3 linked regions of the Nothobranchius furzeri genome follow. The protein of the gene in region 3 binds, or shares a complex with, the protein of the main gene of each other region. Links are inferred from orthologs where the notes say so. Each region holds a gene or a part of one and is shown on either strand. Other genes may lie near its edges.

Region 1 (7,259 bases), on a different chromosome or scaffold from region 3:
TACATACATTTCTAAAATTCTGTGTTTTTCTGTCAATATGGGATGCCATGTGTACATTAATGAGGGGAAAAAAAGCAAATGGCTGCAATATAACAGTGAAAAAATGATGAGGGTCTGAATACTTTCCATACCCACTGTATGTATTGCATGAGATAAAAGTAAATCACATTTTATTACCCAACAAAAATATTTCACTTCTTATCACCTTGTGATAAATGGATCAGTCTTGTGAAAAATATGGGAATAAAAGCAGGTTTTATAGTGTATACCCAAACCAGGGGTCGTGTATGGTTAGGGGACTGTTTCAGCTTGGGCTACACAAATTAATGGCAGCATTAATACAAATGTGTAGTTGTGAGATCTACCTTTCCTCTCAGGTCTGGTTGGTGGTTCTTGACTCAGAGGTCTGGCTAAACCCTGATAATTGTTCCCAATCAAAATATGGGAAAAGGAAAAAAAAAACATTAAAGAAGTCAAGTTTCCATACTGTTCAACGTAGCCTAAGTAAATTTTAAAGAACAACGAGTTTTTCTGGACTATGTCCAGAGAAAATGATGCCGAACAGGAAGTCACTGATACAGCAGCCCTACCTTGTGTTGATTTGAAGCCAAGGAAATTTCCAAACGCTCTAGGTAATTGTAAGGAACAAGTCCTCTCTGTAATCGACATCATACTGGATAATAATCAATAGAACTTAAAAACATAAATTACTAATTCAGCCCATCCCTGATTTTAGTCCTACTCTTTCATTGAAGACCACGTAGGCCCAGTTGTCGTCACCCTTCTGCAGCACAAACACAATGTTTCCTGGCACAACAGCCAACTCATCACTGGTCTCAGGGTCAAACTCAAACAGCACGGTGTGTGGTTCTCCTTGTAGAGCTCTGTGGAGACGAGATGTCCACATGTCCTCGTGAGAAACAGAACAATTAGAATATGATGATTATATTTTATCTGCTGTTTGGTTTATCTATTTGGGACATGTTCACTTTCAGATCACAGCAAAAGAAAATCTAATACATGTTCAAACTGACCTCAAAACTTCTGGTTCTTTTGGAGAAGTTGGACCATCTTCGACCTAACAAAATACAGGACTTTCACTTTTAACCACCATTGCAAAAAGGCTTTATATTTCACATCGTAAAGAACTAATGTACATATGACGCTGCTCAGACTTCCCCTCGTCATGAGTGGATTTGATCTGCCCTGGTATATTAGAGGCTAATGAAACATTTATTTATCTTCTGAGGACTTTATTGGTCTCAGTTTGATTTGATTCCTCACCTGCGGTTGTAGCGGGGCAAACCCAGAGAACTCATCTTGTGGAACCACAGAGGAAACAACCTAATGTTTCGAAAAATACATTTTAAATGGAGTTTTATGCCGTTCTTCATCAATAATATATATCTGTAAATCTGAATAATCCACAATTAAAATGGATTATGTTAAAATCTGTGATTGTTGGTCTGGTTGTTATATGCATACCTTAGCTTTGCCCAGGTAGTCCTTTTTCTCCAGCTCAGCCACATAGTGCTTGTTTGGTCTAAACAGCATTTTCAAAGGGAATTCCACCGGTTTGAAAAGCTTTTGTTTCTGTCAGAAAAAAAAAACACATATTGAAAAGTATTACTTAAATTAATTTGAAAGATTTTGGGATTTTAGAAGATTCACTTACAGTGGGGCAAAAAAGTATTTAGTCAGCCACCGATTGTGCAAGTTCTCCCACTTAAAATGATGACAGAGGTCAGTAATTTTCATCATAGGTACACTTCAACTGTGAGAGACAGAATGTGAAAAAAAAATCTATGAATTCACATGGCAGGATTTTTAAAGAATTTATTTGTAAATCAGGGTGGAAAATAAGCATTTGGTCGCTTCAAACAAGGAAAATCTCTGGCTCTCACAGACCTGTAACGTCTTCTTTAAGAAGCTTTTCTGTCCTCCACTCGTTACCTGTATTAATGGCACCTGTTTGAACTCATTATCTGTATAAAAGACACCTGTCCACAGCCTCAAATAGTCAGACTCCAAACTCCACTATGGCCAATACCAAAGAGCTTTCGAAGGACACAAGGAAAAGAATCGTAGACCTGCACCAGACTGGGAAGAGTGAATCTACAATAGGCAAGCAGCTTGGTGTGAAAAAATCAACTGTGGGAGCAATTATCAGAAAACGGAAGACATACAAGACCACTGATAATCTCCCTCGATCTGGGGCTCCACGCAAGATCTCATCCCGTGGGGTCAAAATGATCATGAGAACGGTGAGCAAGAATCCCAGAACCACACGGGGGGGGGGGGGGGGGGGGGGACCTGGTGAATGACCTGCAGAGAGCTGGGACCACAGTAACAAAGGTCACCATCAGTAACACACTACAACGGCAGGGAATCAAATCCTGCAGTGCCAGACGTGTTCCGCTGCTGAAGCCATTGCATGTCCAGGCACGTCTGAAGTTTACCAGAGAGCACATGGATGATACAGCAGAGGATTGGGAGAATGTCATGTGGTCAGATGAAACCAAAGTAGAACTTTTTGGTATAAACTCAACTCGCCGTGTTTGGAGGAAGAAGAATACTGAGTTGCATCCCAAGAACACCATTCCTACTGTGAAGCATGGGGGTGGGAACATCATGCTTTGGGGCTGTTTTTCTGCTAAGGGGACAGGACGACTGATCCGTGTTAAGGACAGAATGAATGGGGCCATGTATCGTGAGATTCTGAGACAAAACCTCCTTCCATCAGTGAGAGCTTTGAAGATGAAACGTGGCTGGGTCTTCCAACACGACAATGATCCCAAACACACCGCCCGGGCAACAAAGGAGTGGCTCCGTAAGAAGCATTTGAAAGTCCTGGAGTGGCCTAGCCAGTCTCCAGACCTCAACCCCATAGAAAATCTGTGGAGGGAGTTGAAAGTCCGTGTTGCTCGGCGACAGCCCCAAAACATCACTGCTCTCGAGAAGATCTGCATGGAGGAATGGGCCAAAATACCAGCTACTGTGTGTGCAAACCTGGTAAAGACCTATAGTAATCGTTTGACCTCTGTTATTGCCAACAAAGGTTATGTTACAAAGTATTGAGTTGAATTTTTGTTATTGACCAAATATTTATTTTCCACCCTGATTTACAAATAAATTATTTTAAAATCCTGCCATGAGAATTCATGGATTTTTTTTCACATTCTGTCTCTCACAGGTGAAGTGTACCTATGATGAAAATTACTGACCTCTGTCATCATTTTAAGTGGGAGAACTTGCACAATCGGTGGCTGACTAAATACTTTTTTGCCCCACTGTATCTTCTTCCTTCCAAAACCCAAATAGCCAACACCTATGCTGATAAAATGTTGATTTCTAAACATATGTGGATGTGTGTAATTGAATTATATTAATGAAGTGTAACCGTATTTTATGAGAGGATGATCGTAACTGACCAGGGTTGACTGCAGAGCCCTGTCGATGAGGCTGAGCTTGGCATCTGTCTTGTAGTCCAGTGCCTTGACCAGGTTTTCCTGGGCCTTTTCCCAGCTACCCAGCTTAGCTTCAGCCAGGGCAAGATTGTGGAGAACCTGAAGCAGGAGGTGTCGACGTGACACTGAGTTAGGAGCTTTTCAGTCACACCGTCTTATCAGGTTTATTTGAAGCCCTCATATTGAAAACTGAATTAGGAAGAGCTGAGGCTTCAACGGTTTCCTCTTTGCAAGAATATATAAATCACATTGAAAATGAGGAATTACCATCATCAGCCAGCTTTATTTTAACCTCAGATTTCTGACGGACAGTAGAGCTAAAGCTCACCTCACAGGCATATAGGATGTATCTGAGACCTAGTGCTTTGTAATCGATCAGCTGGTTACCCCTCAGAGCTTTAAAGGCTCTCTGGAAATCAGCTGAACTCTCCTCATACCTGTGACCAAGACAAGTAAAGGTAATAATTATTACACATAAGGCAAGTTTTATAAAACATTTGATGTAATTTACCTTTTCTTTTTGTAAAATGTCATTCCCCTCTGAAAGAAGGCAACTGCCAAATGCTCATCCTTGCGAATGCTGCAGTCAAACGCCTGAGAAATAACAGGTAAGAAAATAACTTCCTCTAAAGGAGCAGAAAGCCGGTGACACCACTTCTTCTTTCACTGTGACTTGCACTTTCAGAAACCTCTATAGGGAGCCTAAGTCACGTCCTTCCGGACCATGGGTCCTCAGCTGCCAAGAAAATTGAAATTGAATATTTTCTGATCCTGTTTGATCTGTTCAGGGGACCCGTGAGCCAACCGGAGGGCTCCTTATATCTGACACGTTTCATCTCAGCCTTGCCAAATAAATCCAGATGATTTTACTTTCTTACGTGCACAGACTTGCAGATTTGATTTAAAATAAAGTAGATCTAACGTACCTTTTCAGCATCATCCAAGTCTTGGTTCAGAAGATGAAGGCAACCAATGTCAAAGTAAATTTTGGAATTTGGTTCTTGAATGGATAAGAAAATGCAGAGGGCTTCTGACCATTCCTGTCTGTCGGCACAAGTTACAGCTTTGTCCCACTGCCGCAGAGTGTCCACATAAGACATGTTTGTTGGCTTACCAGCACACTGATTCTACATTGAGGAAGTTCTTCTTATTTGTACCAGTGAAACTGGGAAGTGTGATGACAGCTGTTACGATTTACAAATGCATCACAATCAGCTCTAAGTGCTAAAGCCACATTTAAATTATTTTCTCCCGTTCAGTGCAATAATTGCACTCTAACTTACTGCTGATGTACCAAACAATTTGCACATTGTGTCCAGGAAATATGTATATTTTTATATCTACTTTTTCAGATGGTCTTGTGTTTATTTTTTATCTGGTATGTCAAATGCTCTATTTGAGTTCCATCAATATTAGCCTACAGTTAACAAAAGCTTTATGATTTAGATTCTAGAGATTTTCTATCTTTGAATAAATTGTGGGTTTAAATGTGTGTGTGTGTGTGTGTGTGTGTGTGTGTGTGTGTGTGTGTGTGTGTGTGTGTGTGTGTGTGTGTTTAGCTCTAAACTAACGTTGGCATTTTATAAGCAGAAAAGCTTGAGATGCATAATGAAAAATGTTTCACATCTAATTGATTTCTAGTATTTTTTAAATAATTATTTTTTAACTTTATTTTGTAAATTTACAAACAAACATGGCACTTTGACAATGTTAAATCCAAAACTCAAATTGATTTCCAGTGTTGTAACGACCTTAACTTTGATGACATTCAGACATTTTTACTGAAATAAGTAATGTTCAGATTATTGTTTGTTCTTCTTTAATAATTCTAAATTTATTGAGCTGCAATATTTATTTAGTAAATATATGATGTGTTTTTGTGCCAAATGCACAAAAACAACTTCCGGGTTTTTCCTTTCAAAATAAATTTCTTGTGACATGACTATAATCACAAAATACTGGTGCGTTTTCTTACAACACTAACATCATATTATAAATGTGTATTTATATATTCTCAAGGAATTCAACGATTTCGCCTTTCAATAATAACGTATCTTCTTTACTTGAATGTATAAAATGCTCTTATTTTGATAGAGTAAAAACGTTTATCCGTTAGCTCATCGCTAGCTAAACAAACATGGCTCTACTACACTTTCGGAGTACGAACCTTTATGATGCGTAGAACAAATGAAAATTGGAGCTATGTAAGGATTAACAAGAAATAAGTCATGTTTGGTATGACTGTTTAGATTAAGTTGCTATATTATTTGTGTTGGTAGCTCGGAGCACCCTTTTGTGTCCGTATTTACACACAGCTAGCTCCAGAGTTGGCTAATGTGAGCTAACAAGATGGACCTTGGAACAATGTTGTACAATAATTTGAAAGATGTTACTTGGAGCTCAACGTCTTTACCTTTGGATCAGCTTGTCAGTGCATATAAAATGCCCCAAATCGTCAAACTGGACAGCGGTTAGTAACTTTGTTATTATGCATTTAAAGCAGTCATCTTTGCGCTAAACATCAACAAACTGTTAAGTTGGTGTTTATATATATATATATATATATATATATATATATATATATATATATATATATATATATATATATATATATATATATATATATATATATATATATATATATATGTATGTCTTAATGATGCTTACATTCTCAAGCATTTTGTAGCCAAAGTGCTGCATCTGCTTGACAGACTACATTATTGTACCACAGCAACTTTTTATTATTGAATGCTTTCATGCATCCTCACATCACAACAAAACATCTTGATTTATGGTCAGCACTGATCCGCTTCTCAAGACTGCATTTATGTCACTCTAGACTATCTGAAGCATTGAAACTGTCAAAATGAATAATTAAACAGATGTATCAGCCACAGTCACATTTAGTTGTCTATTAAATAGATATCTTTATTTTAAACTCTACCAAACTGCCTTGTTGCTGTATTATAATGTTCAGAAATCTGTAAGATAACCGAAAATCTTTTTATTTTATTTTATCAAATGTCATTCTAATCACAGCCAATAAGTAAAAAGTTTCCTATATAAGGAACCCAGCAGGTTGCATCGAGTCACTGACTAGTGTCAGAGTCTTTACAGCAATCCTCATACTAAGCAAGCATTTAGCGACAGTGGAGAGGGAAACTCCATTTTAACAGGAATAAACTCCAGAGGATCCTGGCTCAGTATAAGCAGCCATGTAAATTTGTTACTGACTCCTGCAGGTGCGCAGATATTTTACATGTTATGCACAGAGAACATCGCAGAGGTAATCAAGATTTCTATCAGTGCATCTGAGCATAATCTCACACTTTCTCCTTATCTTGCTGCTGACAGTGTGCCCAAGTAGTGCGCTGAAGGGAGCTCAGAGAGCGTCTGGCGCACTCGACATCGTGCACAATAGCGCAGTGTTGAGTGGAAACCCTTCTATCTTTCCGAGAGTCTGGTATACTTCTGTTTATGTGTCATTAAATAATTAGATTTTTAAACTTTGGCTTAAATAGTGCTTGTTATCCAGCAATTGCCTTGAATCCAGCGTGTCAGCGGACCGCAGATTCATCCATAACAACATTTAAACATCCACAAGTCTGTCTGAAACAAAAGCCCAGAACCTCATAACCTCTTCAGCAAACTCCCTAGAGACATTTGATTACGCACAAGCTGGAGGTGACCTGTTAATGTTTACGTACAGGCCAATGCAGGTAAAATGTTCCTAATTTAAGTGAATTGTTTAATTGCATGTTTTATATGTTACAGGGGCACTCTGCTCAGCTT
Region 2 (7,032 bases), on a different chromosome or scaffold from region 3:
TCACACCCAGTGTGTATTTTATCTGGCGATGGGGGCAGTACATGCCTAAATCATTTTTGTATTCGAGAAAGACCTTACCAACGGAAGCCCATTTGGGTCAAAAATCCTTGGCAGTGCAATTTTCGAATTGAATACTTCATCAGATTGTTTAACCTCCAGCCAAATAACAAGCACATCAGACTGTCTTTCATCACTGGCAACAAGCGAAGAGGTAAATGTGTGAAACAACGTTTAGAAACTGCTTGTTACAAATCAGTAAATGCATTTAGTCATCATGGGCTCATGTATAAGGAAACATAGCAACTATTCAAGCATCGCTCAGAGACTTTGACCCGCTCCAATCTACTTTAGACCCGATTTTTATGGTTATATATTACAAAGCCACCAACATTTTTCAACAACATTTTGATGGATATTTCCAGAGATTACAGTTTTTCTCAATTGCTAAAGCACAATTCCTGAAACCTTGCTCTCTTTTCTCAAAACATTAAACACAAAACCTCAGCTTCAAGCACGATTTACAAAACCTCTCATTCCTCTTGCAAAATCAAACTTTTGCCTCAAAACAGTTTTAGCTGTGCTCAAAATCAAACACTACTCTCAAATCATAAACAAATTACTCAAAATGACATACACCATCAAGCAGTCAGTAAACAATACACCAAAAAATAGAAAGCACAATGTTCAGGGCCATAAGATTTGTTTATTGTACCATATAGAGCCTATTGTGCTACAGTGTTCAATGACAGTGAAAAAAAATACATAAAATGAAAAACATCAAAGGACTAAACATGTTATCAATGGGCCTCTTCTTGTCTGTGGGCTGGGTCAGGCCACAGCTCTTCATCGACATCACATGCAATATTTTCCCTCCTGAGGCTCAAATTGGGTTGCACTCCAAGTCCTGCTTCCCTCATTGTCAGCCCATGGACAACAACACGGTCTATGATTGTTGCTCAAATTTCATTGGACATTTCCACTCTTTGTCTCGCTCTTCCTCTTCATCCTCCTCTTTCTCTTTCTTGCCCTCCTCCTCATCCCCCACCTCGCATACACACTCGTCCTTGTCCTCTCACATGAATTCTTCTATCCATTGTCACACTTTCTCATTCCCACCTTCAACAACCTGTTTGCTCTCTGAACTTGCTTATATTGGTCGTCACGTCATTTGAAACAAGTGAAATCTAATTTGACTGATTGTGTTCAATCAATGACATTTGTGCTCTTGTTATGGGTAAGTGTGTGCCACTTGTGTTTACCATTATGGACGACGTGTACATTAGAGTGCAGAATGGGTTTTAAGAATGAGAATGTGTTTAGAGTTTTGCTAAACCGTGTGAAATTGTTTAAGGTTTTGACAACAGGCTCAACGGTTAGCTTAATGAGTTCAAGCAACTGAGAACTTTCTTCAGTCAATGGATTTTAGAGTTTTAGCAATTGATAAAAACTGTAATGGTAACAACTACACACTGTCTCTTTAAGAAAACAAGCTAGAGCTGGCCACGCCCACCCATGCCTACCCATCTCCCACTCTGGTTGCTATAAGCTGAGAAGCTCCGATATCTGACAAGGGCAGGAAAGATGCTAATCATCTAACTTGAAGAGGTGAGGAGTGTTTCCATGTAAAAACAAACAAACAAACAAAAAAACGTAAGATTCATGGACTTTTTGGAACAGCATGTTTTAAGGGGCATAATTTCTAAACCAAACTGAGAGATGGATGGATGTTTTTTAATGTTTGGAGCATTTATACAAGCAATAGGGACACATGTCACAGCATTAAAGGATGGAAAAGATGATTTTTGCATAATATGTTCCCTTTAAGATGTTTGTTATGCACATGTTTAGCTGTAGCCTGAGCAGTGACCATTAACACTGCTAGGTTAATTTTTTGCAGCATATTTTTAAAATAAATATGTTCACAGTTTGAGATTTGGCAGCACTTGTAACATGGTCTACAAAGAAATAATCAAAGTAATGTTTTTTATATTTGTGTGGAGTTTATTCATTTGTTTCTCACAGTTACTGAGATTATTAAAAAAATCAGATTTAATAGTTAAAATTGAGCTTTAATAGTTTAGTTGAAATGGTCTTCCAGGTCACGTGTATTACCGGTATCTAATTTTGCACAACTGATTACATCACAGGAATACATGACGACATCTGAACACAATACCACCAGTAAGACTTGGTGTGTCATAATTTCTCACTCAGAACAAAATTCCGTTCTTATCAAACTAATTATTTTTTTACTGCTTTACATTGTGGCTCTAATTATAAATGGCTAATAAATAAAAATTTTAAATTATTAATAAATCTGTAACACAATAAATTATGGTCAGTGTTTATTATACTTTAAAAGGGGGAAAAGAGAAAAAAGTGACCAGCTTCTGTCAAAATGGTGAGCCAAAATAGTGTTCTCTTTCTCGTCCTTAATAACATATTTATAAACTATTTATTAGCCACTCATAAGGGAAACCCTTTGTAAAGTTGTATCTTTCTTTTTACAATTCGTCATTTACATTGCCTCATGTTTACTTTAAGTATCTGTGGTGATTAGGTGGACATTGGTTCTTAAACTAATGGAAAAACCCATTTAGTCTAAGAAATTTAAAATAATACCTCTGTTGCAGTTAAGTTCCAGTGGTGTTATCACTGTTTCTGACTTAACGAGGTCCTTCGCTCAGTTTTAATACATTTGCAGTGGCCTCTAGTAGTAATGAATGCCTTGTGAATCGTACTCTGGGGAAACAAAGCTCTGGCGCGCCTGTTTCGTGCAGGAACTACAAGATTGCCACATCACAGCTGAGCTTCAGCAGGATTTGGAGTCTTATATCCTGATATTTGGACATCTCACCTCTGATTGGATAACAGCAACGCAACCCTACCACTGCTTCTGTTGTGCAACGTTGATGTTTTATTCACAAATAACACCTGAAGGAGTTCTGCCATGTGGTGGACTTGCGAATGCTAACAGATAGCTTCTCCTAGCTGAGACGTTTACTGCTGTTTCCTGCACGCCAAACCAACAACAGCCTTCCCCGTTGCGAGTTAAGCTGGGTGAGTCATGAATGTTAGGTGTGACTATAAATCTCTGGATTAAAGTTTTTACAATGTTTTTAACCAGAACATGTGATCTATTATTTTTTTAATCAAGCTGCCAACTTATGAACTTCTGATTTTATAGTTAAAATTCAAAGTTTTGCAAGTGAACATATAACTGTAAATACATTTTAAAAAGTTACACACAAAGGCTACCTACAGACTCACACACTTCCCTCCAACCTAACACAAGCTTCCTCTTGTCAGACCAGCAAACACGTGTTCCTCCATCATCCCAGCTGTTAGGATTATTTTAAAGGGTTTCCACCACAAAGGCTCAAACTGAAATGGTGGAGTTACAAACTCAGACAAAAGAAAAGAAAACAAAACTCTGCTACAGGAGATGCTTGGATTTTAGTCAGCGTGCTGCAGAAATGACTCATATCACCAGTTTCCACTGACAGATTGTCTTAATTAATTACGAGAATTAATTCTAACAAGTTACTTCATGACCTTTGTCGGAAAAAAATGTTTTCAAAATGTGTTTGTTTTGATCAAAAACCCAATAATCATCCCACACAAATTCCTCTTCATTATCATTTTCTGCGACCCCCCACCTAACCCTGCGGTTCTGATTCCTGTTGCCTTGAGGGAACGAGACCATGTGTACACATTTATTAAAAAATACCTAAAGATACACCAAGCTTCTGTCACGCACACAAGTTCACGTGTTCACACTAACTTCCTTTTCTTCTTCGCTTTACATTTCTAAATCAGACACAACAGGAAGCTCAGCACACAAGGAAGAGCAGCTTCAGCACCTGAGAGGCTCTTCCATCGCTCTAACTGTTATTGATCTCTTAGACACAAAACTAATGTGGCTTTTTATGACAAATGGTCTCTTTACTGTTACTTATTTGTGCTTTAAATATGGAGACATGTTAATAAAGTGGATACTGACACAATTCAAACTTTCCTACACCGTTTCAGCCAAATAAGTTCACATTTCAGTATTTTTGATTATTTCTGTCTGGTGTTCCCCTTAATCAGCTGTTTCTTGACATTTCTCAGCTCCTCCTCAGAAGAAAGGGGGCCTGTGCTAAAGGTTTGCTGCTCAGAAGCATTTTCTACATGTTGTGACCTGCACAGCTCATCCACTTCTCTGATCGGTGCTGTCAAACAAACACCTTGGGACCAACATGTTCTACAAGAAAATTACCCCCAACGAATCCAGACACTGCGGAAGTAGATGCAACTCTTATTTGATTTGACAATTTTGTCCTCCAGTTCCTACATTCTGAACTCAGGTCCAAACATGTCCATCATGAATGATCGGGACCAATTCCGTACCTGTAAACACGGTTTAAGTTAGGACAAATAAAGTGAAGTAAAATGTAGCCGTACCCATCTCCTACGACCACACACTTGATAGCCTGCATCCTGTTCTGCTCAGCGTCGCCTCTTCTCTCTGACAGAGGAAGTTTCAGAGCTGAGCATGCAACTACAGGAAACTGTTGCACACCTCCCTCCCTCTCCGCTCTCTGAGCTACCTCTTTTTTGACAGCCTCCCCACCTGTTGTTTTATAACTCACCCTGCCTTCCTCTACTCCTTTGTTTGTGTAGTTTTCCTCCTAAAATAGACCATTCACTATTTCAGTTATGGGAATTAATTAAACAATACTTTAAGCTGAAATGGATTTAATTTTGCACGGAGCAAAATGAGGAAGGAGTTGAAGTGATAAAAACAGCTTTATCTGAAACTTACTACTTCGTTTGCGCTTCTATGGATGCCGACAATAAACTAAAAAAATATCACCGGAGTCGCTTACCATAAAACACACACACACACACACACACACACACACACACACACAGGCAAAACATGATTGCATTTACACTTTATTTTTATATTTACGCAAAGGTTTGTTATTTTTAGAGTGACACTTGGTGTTAGCAAAACAAAGACTCAAAGCCACCATCTGTAGTCACAAACCAGAGGTGAAGGTAACACCATGGTGTGGCCATCAGGTGGCGCCTTGGCACCACGATAAAGCCTAGACTGGGAAAGGTAAAATGGCCTGTAAAACACAGGTGGCATTCATTTTCAGTTTTTGGGTCATAATGTAATCTACTGGTTTCCTTCTAATGTTTCCTAATAATGTTTTATTTCTAGATAAACAAAAATATAAAAATATTCAAAACAAAGAAAAATCTGATTAATTTTTTACACAATAGAAATTTCTTACTATAATAACTAAATGATGCCAGATTAAAACCCACTTTATTACCTTTACATCAAAGTCCCAGTATTAGAGCTCTGAGTGAATCATTTATTCAGGACCACGTGCAGGGCTGCACGGCGTACTTAAACCAGATGTTTTTGTACTGAAGGATGGTCATATTGTCTGTCTTTGTGCTCATGTGAACCTGTCGTGGAAGAGGAAGAGGTGGGGCTTCAAGTAATTAAATATTTCATTCAGTTGTTGCGCTGGAGGCTGAAGCAGCCTAATGCTCAACTGTGTTGCCAAGGGAGTTTTCTGTCATTTATTTGTTTTTTCATTTGTTTTGGGATATAAATGACAGATTCTAAAATGGGTAAGACCTGATTTAATCTTTTCTTGCTTTACAATGATTATTTAAGATATTTGCTGAAACGTTGCGATGAAAAAAATGTTTCAACTCCCTGATTTCCTAAAGTGGGATTATTTATTATTGTGGCTTGAAACTTAAATCAGATTTTCTGACATATTAGGGATACTATGTCAGAAAATGTTTCAGCAAAACAGTAAAAAAAATAATCACGTTGTAAAAACAAAATAATGAACTTCATGGCATTAATGACACCCCAAAATATCAGTAAAACTTTTTATTTGAATTCCAGCTGTTTAGTCTATCAGCATTCATTGTCATTTTGCTTTCCCTAATAATTAGACATCAAAATGCATTTATACTGTATACATTCCAGTGTCTCAAATTTGAGCCACGGGGGCCTTTTAATAACCGATTGTGTTTAAAAAGAGCTAAGGCTGCAAAGGTTTTCCGCTTGTTACTGACAGCTTGCGGTAGAGAAGCGAAGAAAAAAGACATGCAAACTGTTTTTGTAAAACACTGTTGTGAGCCAAAATGCAGAAGAGAGACTCACAAGACCGTGCGTCACTGACAGTAATACAAAAATAGAAGTTGTCTTCAATTAGATATCTGTATAATTCATTTTTTAAAGGCACAACTCAGAGATTCAGAAGATTCCAGCATAAACATGCATCGCTGTAATCAGGTTTTGCAAAGGAAGGGTGGCCAAGTGGAAGTCTTGTGGTTAGGTCCGTGAGGACAAACAACTTACTCGTCTCACAGGAAGTGCACCCATGTTACCATCTCTTTAACTTTATTAACACAACTCAGTTCATCGTTGCTTTATCTGTTCTGATAAATGTAATCCCATGACTTTGTTTTCTGTCTTCTTATCGTAAAATCTGTTTTCACTGAAGTCAGCTCTCTACCTTCAGCTAATAGTTCGAGAAGACTGACCTAGTAAGATGATTGCAGAAGGAAAGTTTGGGGACGACAAGGTTCTTGTAGAGAACACAGTAGCCACCTCAAAAGCCACAGTTTTTTATTTTTTGGGTCCACTTTAAAGACAAAATGAAAGTTGGTGTGTTTGCACAATGTCAGTGAAATGCAATGAATATTTACAAAAGTATTTTTGATGTAGCATCACTCCCAGAAACAACCTGAGTGATTTACATATGGATGCATGATTACTGAAAGAAGTCAGTTAGGATCAGATGTGCAAAGGAAGCTGGAAATAAATAAAAAAATGACTAGGAAAGGAATTGGGGAACTAAACTAAAAAAGAAATGAAAAGAGGTCAAACTAATGAAAAACTGTAAGCATGGTGAAAACAGTGTAAAACCCTAAACACTGGAATAAGTAAAACAAACATATTTAACAGAGAAAAGGCTCAGTCAGATTCCCAAAAGTGTGAAAAGGTTT
Region 3 (7,018 bases):
TACCTCCTAGACCTTCTACACTGCCCCCTGAAGGCTAAAATAAATAGTACCAAAATAAATGGTATGCTGCAGCTGTTGACTCCGATTTTGTAATTAGTGGGTATTCTTCTTTGTTTTTTATATTACCAATAAAATGGGAAAACTCTCGTGCACAAATGTGAAATATTCCACATTTTTCTATTCTATACTTTATTTTGCTATTTTAGACAGACAGAGAAACACAAATACCTTTTAATAAACAGATTATATATATATATATATATATATATATATATATATATATATATATATATATATATAGTGTGCATGTTCATATATGAATATGAATATGCACACCACCATGATGAAAACTATAATGCTTGTTCAGTACATGCATTTTAAGGTAACTATGGTCAAATATTGAAGACAATCAAATTATAAACTAAAAATGTAAACATAACACATAAACAAAGACCATGTAAATAAAAGAAGTGATGCCAAATCATCAAAACAACATATGCCAATTACAAAACAGGCAAAACCATAAGGACATGCTTTCAGTTAAAGACCAAAACTGTGTTTGGAACATGTAGTATAGATATGTTTGCCTACAAACATTCTGATAAAATAGCTTTTAAAACATGCATACGTTTGAATGACTGATATAAGAAATAAGTCATATTGTCTTGTGTTTGTGGACAGATTTATTCTGAATGAAATCTACTTTATAAACTACTTTGTTCCACCAAACTTTTACTTTAACAGTCTTACACAACACTTCCTGCTCACCAACTGTCATCAAAATATTGTATGTGACTAGTTCCTTGTGCTTAGAATAACAGTTGGGGAAAACACAGGAAAATGAACTCAGACTGTATAAAATGTTATACGTGTTGCAAACTACTTACAATTCTTGTATTTTAGTGCTAGGTCTCATACCACCCCAGGTTGATTAAGGAAGCACCTGTTATTTCCCAACAGGCTGTAATTGCTTGACTAATCAGCTGTGACTACAAAACCCAGAAACAAATAACTTTAAGACTCAAGAAATGGAGATTGAGCTGCTGAACCTGTTTGACTTGAAGACATATAAATACATACATTTTTTCCCTCAAAGGAAACTTATGAAAACAAAGCCAAGGAGAAGAAAACAGGCCCGAGAGGAGAAAGGGAAATTCTGAGTTACTGAAATACTGTTTTTGCCAAAGGGGGAAGTTGCAAATGTCGCTTCTTTAACAATTTCAAAAAGGGGAAAATAATATCACTAACCTCCAGAAGATGATTCAAAGAAAGCAGATGATTTATTTACAATGCAACTATGATTACTACAACCCTAGCTAGCAACACGTATTTTTAAATGTTAGTAGCAGCTGGATGCAGCCAAAAATAAATGTATGCATTTATTCTGATACAACTGAACAGTGATTCAGTGTTTTCAAGGGAAGCGCAAACATACAGATCAAGTACATGTTAAGTTGTAAGATGCATGAATGATCTTAAAAACTTACTTGACTGGGAAAAATACAGAAACAGAGTTTAACATTCACATTTACCATAATGTCAAAATACAAAGAAAACTCAGAATTTGTTCATTTTACCTTTTGACATTTTGCGTAATGGAATTTTTTCTTCCACAAAAGAGAGAAAAAATAACTTTTTTTTCTGAAAAAAATGTAACATTTTGCTCATTAACTGGCTCCGTTCAAAAGACTTCAGAAAAACTGTTCATGTATGGCCACTGAATCTGGTGGGACCGGTTTGTTGGACATAAATGATGGAGCTGCTGAGCGGCTCGCTAATCGTCAGTAACAGAGGAAGGGTTGTCGTATGCTGCTCCCTCCAGGTCCTTGGCTTGTTTCCTGCGAGTTTCTGGTGGAGGTCTTGGCGGTGGATTCTGGGGAGGATTCTTGATACTTTCAGCAACTGGCTTTCGCACATCCTTACGAGGAAGAATGGGCTCCCAGTGCTCACCTCGGATCGCTGCCTGGAAGACAAGAAAGTGTCTGTAATGGGTGGATGTTATCCATCCTGTTTAATGAGCCCCTTGTATGCAAAGTTGTTTAATGCTCACATTTGTGTGCCAATGTGAGATAAACAAAGCCAGATATGTTATTTTTCTTTAAAGTAGATGATGAGGAATTCAGGCACACCCCTGACTGGTAGCGTTTCAAAACTACAGGGACATGTCTCAACTGAGGAACAAGTGCGACACATTCTCTTCCTCGTTCACCACTTCCTTTCTCGATGCTTATCAAAGTTCACGGTAATTAAAAAGCTTAACGGGAAAAATAAATCCTCGTCAAGCCTCCAACTTACTGCAAGGTAGATGAGGCTGGCGATGCCGAGGCAGACACACCCGAGCACAGTTGCTAGCATAAACCCTCCAGGTACACAGATTCTTAAAAATACAATGGAGATGATGGAGTGTAAGTCAAACAGCCATGATGTTCTAAGGGTTTTGTTCAAGAGACTGGCGAGGAATGTTGTCTAGCCAAAGGAAGATGGTTAAGATAACAAAGTCAATCAAGCAAATTGTTTAGGCTGAGTTCACACTTACGCAGCGTGCAGGAACGCTCTAACATAGTAGTTCCTCGTTAGTGGTCCGAAGGCTTTGACACACACTGTGAAGCAGTATTGGCCCCTGATAGAACACAATAATCGTAATAATGTGCAGTAAAGACAGAACTTCACAAACACATATTTGCAGAAAAAAAACAACAACATTGCTTACGATCTTTCCACACTTGTCCCTTTGGCCCGCTTGCTTCTGGGATACTCAAGAAGACACACAAACACTCCGGCGGCACTTGTTACTGGTTAAGGATGCTACTTCCACCATTTTACAGATTTTAGCAAAAAATGCCAAATGGGCCATCAGTGTGATTAAAAAACCATTCAAATGATCACGATCAGCCTTTCTTATAAATGAACCTTTAATCACTCTGTTTTTTTATTCAGTAAGAAGTTAAAATCACATGAAAGAAGTTTATGCAGAATTTTGGTAGAAATGAGTTTCATGAGTGAATAATAAGTTTTAACAGGACGTCTAAAAATGAGATTAAGTGAATGTTTCCATCAACGAAAAAAACTTAGTTTTGGACAGTCTAAATTGAACAATAGCCCTTAACTGGTGTGGTGTAATCTGAAAAAGTTTCTATGAAAGGTTCTAAGAAAAGAAAAAAAGTACAGTGTTCTTATATGCCGTAAACGTTCTTGTAAGTTTGATGTTTCAGCGAAAGGAGGATGTGGTGTAATCTGTTTGAGTGTAACTGGGTTTTATGGTGAAGGGGGAGAGAGGGGAAGTGATTCAATAAAAGTCGGAGTTTGGGTGCTCGACAAGGTGTCACTGGAATCCTTGATAAAAACACGACAACTGGGATAAAGAAGTACTCTTGCATTTATCATAAGGAAACACCAGCTGTAGAAACAAGAGTTGTACAAAAATCTAATTTTTTAAATATTTGTAACCACGACAGCAACAATATACAGGAAAGTGTTTAATAAATTAAAAATAAATGAATATTTTATACATATTTGCCCATCGTGTTAAGTGTTAGCTGCTGTTTCGTGTCATTTTAGACCTAATTGTGCACTCAGCTATTGGTTAAACTATTATAACTATGATACTACACTAATAAATATAATTTGATTTACCCCACCAAAGCAGCTTTTGCTAATCAAATCTATTAAGCCTGATAGGTAATTACACAGCTTTAACTTCCCAATAGCAGCAGAATAAATGAAATAAAAACAGTGCTATTTAAAGACTCGCCTGAACAGGTTTGGTTTATTTCATTATAAAGGATACACCGCATAAGCAGCAAACTCCCAGCCTCTGAACTGCCCTGCAACCCCCACTATTCCTCCAGCAAGAAGAACTGAAAGAAGGAAACAGGAAGGTGAAAATCTAACAATATACCTTTTGTCACTCCATGCAATGAGACAAGCCCATGTGCAACTGGACAACGATTTACAACAAATCGTTTTACAGGAAAGCAAAGATTTATTTTGTAAATTAAAAAACTGCTGTTTTAAATAAATTATTAAAATAAAAGAAAACGTGAAAATAAACTTTTTTCTTCTTCTTCACTTCAGACGAAGTTATTAAAATACTCACTGAGTCCCGAAGCCAGAGCCTGCTCATTGGCCCACATGGCCCACTCTATCTTCCCCATCGTGTCCACCTGCGAGCAGAGCTGTTATCTCTACAAGGACGAAATGTGTTTACGTGAGGAGCTGAACAGATGCTGGGAGGAGGCTGGCCTCTCGTTTCAGTCGTCATTTCCGATAAATAGTACAGGAGTGTCGAGAGGAGGGGTTAATTTTATCCAACTTCCCGGACAGGTGCGACGAAAGGCCGAAAAAAAAATACGGACGTACTTGAACGCAGCACATTGCACTCTGTCAGTGTGGGTTTTGTTCTTTTAAACAAATACATTGTATCGTTTTTGTTTTCAATGATTTTACTTTTAGCGTAGTATTTTTACCTGTTGTTAAATTTGTCATTCCCATCGTTTTCTACACCTGTTTTTTTCCACAGTAGGATCTCCAGGGGGAAGGAGGTGGGGGAGACACCCTGGACAGGTCACCAGCGATGGTTTTTCAGCCATCACTGGGACACACAGAACCAGCCACACAATGATCCACATCTAGGAACAATTAATGGCTGTCAATTAAACTGACATGCACTCCACACAGAAAGGCTTCAACTGGGATTCGAACCTGTGACCTACTTGCAGAAATGTACCAGTGTTGTCACCCTCATACCGCCCCACCTCCTTGAACAATACTCAAATAAAAAAAAGCAGTGTTGCAAACACATTACAGTAGCAACAGCAATAAAAAATAAGACAACCTGATAACATTCAGACTAAAATACATTTTACTGACGTTTCATTAACAAACCTGATGCAACAAAGATTGCACTTTGGACAGGCTCGGTCCAAGGCATATGCAAACTATGATACAAACTAAGCGACTTCTTTGGTCCCCCACATCACCAGGGGGCCCCCAAGAGCATCAAGATGACACAAGTAAAAATGTTTTAATAAATTTAAATACCAACTAAATAATATTCCACATGAAAAAATAATACACAATGTATCTGTATTATTTTCTGTTGTGTCATTTGGTTTTATTTTGTAGTGCAGCACTCTTTACAAATTTTAAGAACAAAAGATAGTAAACCTAAAATTTTTACTGTGAATTCAGTGTTTGTCTGCCGATGTTTCTATAGCTGAATTAATATACCACACTTAAATAACAATCTTCATTTAAAAAGGCTAATTAGAGCATTTTTGGTGGTTTTCTGCTCTGATAAACTTAAAATCAATATACACAATAACACAGGTTTGATGTAAGCCAGTTACAAAATATGCTAATAATAGTGGGCATGTTATAATGGTGCAGCTTGGGAATGATGAATCATCTAGTGTAGACTTGTTGGTGTGGAGGGTCCCCAAGAGAAACCAGTTTAGGGCCCCACAAAGGCTTGGGCCGGCCTGACTTTGATCTAAAAGACTGATTTGTTACATTTTTAGATTCAATAATAAGGTTCCATCACTGCTCGTGAACTTGTTTCCTCAGGAGTCTCACAAAGCTTTCTTAGGGAATCCATCAGGTGAGAGCAGGTGCTGAGAGGAATCCTCGATGATACAAGGACCTGGTCCAGCCTGAAAAGAATCACAAGATAAGATAAAGTCATTAGATCAGTCATTCTCTGTTGGTTACATATTGATTTCTGAGTATCTGTGAACCTTTGTACTGATGATGTAGTTTATCCCATTTGGTGTGGGCTCCAGACCAATGGCCTCTTTCAGCTCCTCAGAGATAGCAGCACCTTTGACTGGAAGACCTTTAATAAAGCTGAAGATAAACAGACGTGTGAAAGCTCTCTTCTACCACTTAACATTCAGCAGTTCCTTGGAAAGTTTGCCTTTTAGACTTTTATTGTGAATTTTCCCACATGGATCCAGCTATTTATCAAATTCCCTGATCAGATGACAAGAACTACCTGTTGTTCACCAGAAACGGTGCAAATAATCTTTGGTTTCACCCGACCAATAATAAATATATTATTCTCAGCAAAGCCCTGCAAAGTGAAAAATGTGCAGCTCCTTTCTGGCTCTTTAATAAAATGTTGAGTTAGGTCCTACCAGCTTGCGTGGGGTGAAGATATCTGATTGTTTAAGTTGTTAATTTTAACTAGAGGCCGGCCGATGTGTTCTTTTTAAGGCAGATACCGACACCGAGTTTTAAAGAATTTTGTTGCCAATGGCCAATATCTAAAGCCGATTATTAAGGCTGTTATTTACACGTTTTAGCAGCACATTGGTTGTGAAAGACAACTGAACTCTCACTGTGTGCAATATAAATGAAATAAGTCAATAAATTTAATATTTATTGAACTTCAAATATAAAACAAACTCAAAACATTAAAAAAACGGTGTTGGAGGTCTTTTAGGCCTTTTCTTCAGTCTTGTAATGGTAGCAGTTGGCCACATAGGTGTCTGATTTTTTTTAATCTGCTTTTTAAAATAACTTTGGCCGATGGCTGATACAGAAAAATTTGAATATATCAGCCGGCCTCTAATTTTAATCAAATGGGTCTAGTTTAATTCTAATTTGCACAGATATGTGTTTGAGCCACAGAAAAAAATCTGAGCATGATAAACATGGATCCTGGCCGCTTTCCTGGACAAAACTGGTCTTTCGGTATCGCTCAGTCTTACCTAAACAATCTCATCTTATTGGACTGAGGTCATGACTTTTTTCCTGGCATGAACAGTCTATAAAAACAGGCTCACATTCTTCGAATCATTGACCATATAATTCAATTTAGTAATATTCTTTAGTTCAAATGAGAAAAAACTTGAGCTGAATGCATTCTGAATCCACTCTTAACGATAGGTATGGCAAACTAATTAGTTTCATGGGGAAAAAATCTGAAAAAGAAGACTAACAAACAAGTTTCTGGATTTAGCGTACTCTTCTCCGTTCGTGTCTGGGGGGAAGAAATGTTGAACCACCCGGACAAACT

The links. The genes of interacting proteins can lie anywhere in the genome.
Region 1: cyba (region 3) and ncf2 share a complex: the UniProt entries of both Homo sapiens proteins name them as parts of the phagocyte NADPH oxidase complex. The link is inferred for Nothobranchius furzeri from reciprocal best matches to the Homo sapiens genes CYBA and NCF2.
Region 2: cyba (region 3) and rac2 share a complex: the UniProt entries of both Homo sapiens proteins name them as parts of the phagocyte NADPH oxidase complex. The link is inferred for Nothobranchius furzeri from reciprocal best matches to the Homo sapiens genes CYBA and RAC2.

The regions. Positions count from the first base shown.
Region 1 is NC_091747.1:36,774,024-36,781,282, forward strand, and holds the start of ncf2 (neutrophil cytosol factor 2), read right to left. Parts: upstream 4,590-7,259; 5' UTR 4,568-4,589; coding exon 4,394-4,567; intron 4,062-4,393; coding exon 3,979-4,061; intron 3,905-3,978; coding exon 3,796-3,904; intron 3,567-3,795; coding exon 3,432-3,566; intron 1,594-3,431; coding exon 1,486-1,593; intron 1,345-1,485; coding exon 1,285-1,344; intron 1,079-1,284; coding exon 1,035-1,078; intron 885-1,034; coding exon 743-884; intron 657-742; coding exon 591-656; intron 436-590; coding exon 366-435; intron 1-365. Other genes in the region: garem (GRB2-associated and regulator of MAPK protein 1), read left to right, coding at 5,817-5,937. UniProt on the Homo sapiens protein: Subunit of the phagocyte NADPH oxidase complex that mediates the transfer of electrons from cytosolic NADPH to O2 to produce the superoxide anion (O2(-)).
Region 2 is NC_091744.1:130,599-137,630, forward strand, and holds the start of rac2 (ras-related C3 botulinum toxin substrate 2), read right to left. Parts: upstream 4,590-7,032; 5' UTR 4,482-4,589; coding exon 4,447-4,481; intron 1-4,446. UniProt on the Homo sapiens protein: Plasma membrane-associated small GTPase which cycles between an active GTP-bound and inactive GDP-bound state.
Region 3 is NC_091749.1:57,595,487-57,602,504, forward strand, and holds cyba (cytochrome b-245 light chain), read right to left. Parts: upstream 4,252-7,018; 5' UTR 4,155-4,251; coding exon 4,097-4,154; intron 3,858-4,096; coding exon 3,788-3,857; intron 2,786-3,787; coding exon 2,711-2,785; intron 2,621-2,710; coding exon 2,537-2,620; intron 2,378-2,536; coding exon 2,296-2,377; intron 1,964-2,295; coding exon 1,775-1,963; 3' UTR 1,257-1,774; downstream 1-1,256. Other genes in the region: mvda (diphosphomevalonate decarboxylase), read right to left, coding at 5,571-5,651, 5,736-5,844, 6,967-7,018. UniProt on the Homo sapiens protein: Subunit of NADPH oxidase complexes that is required for the NADPH oxidase activity that generates, in various cell types, superoxide from molecular oxygen utilizing NADPH as an electron donor.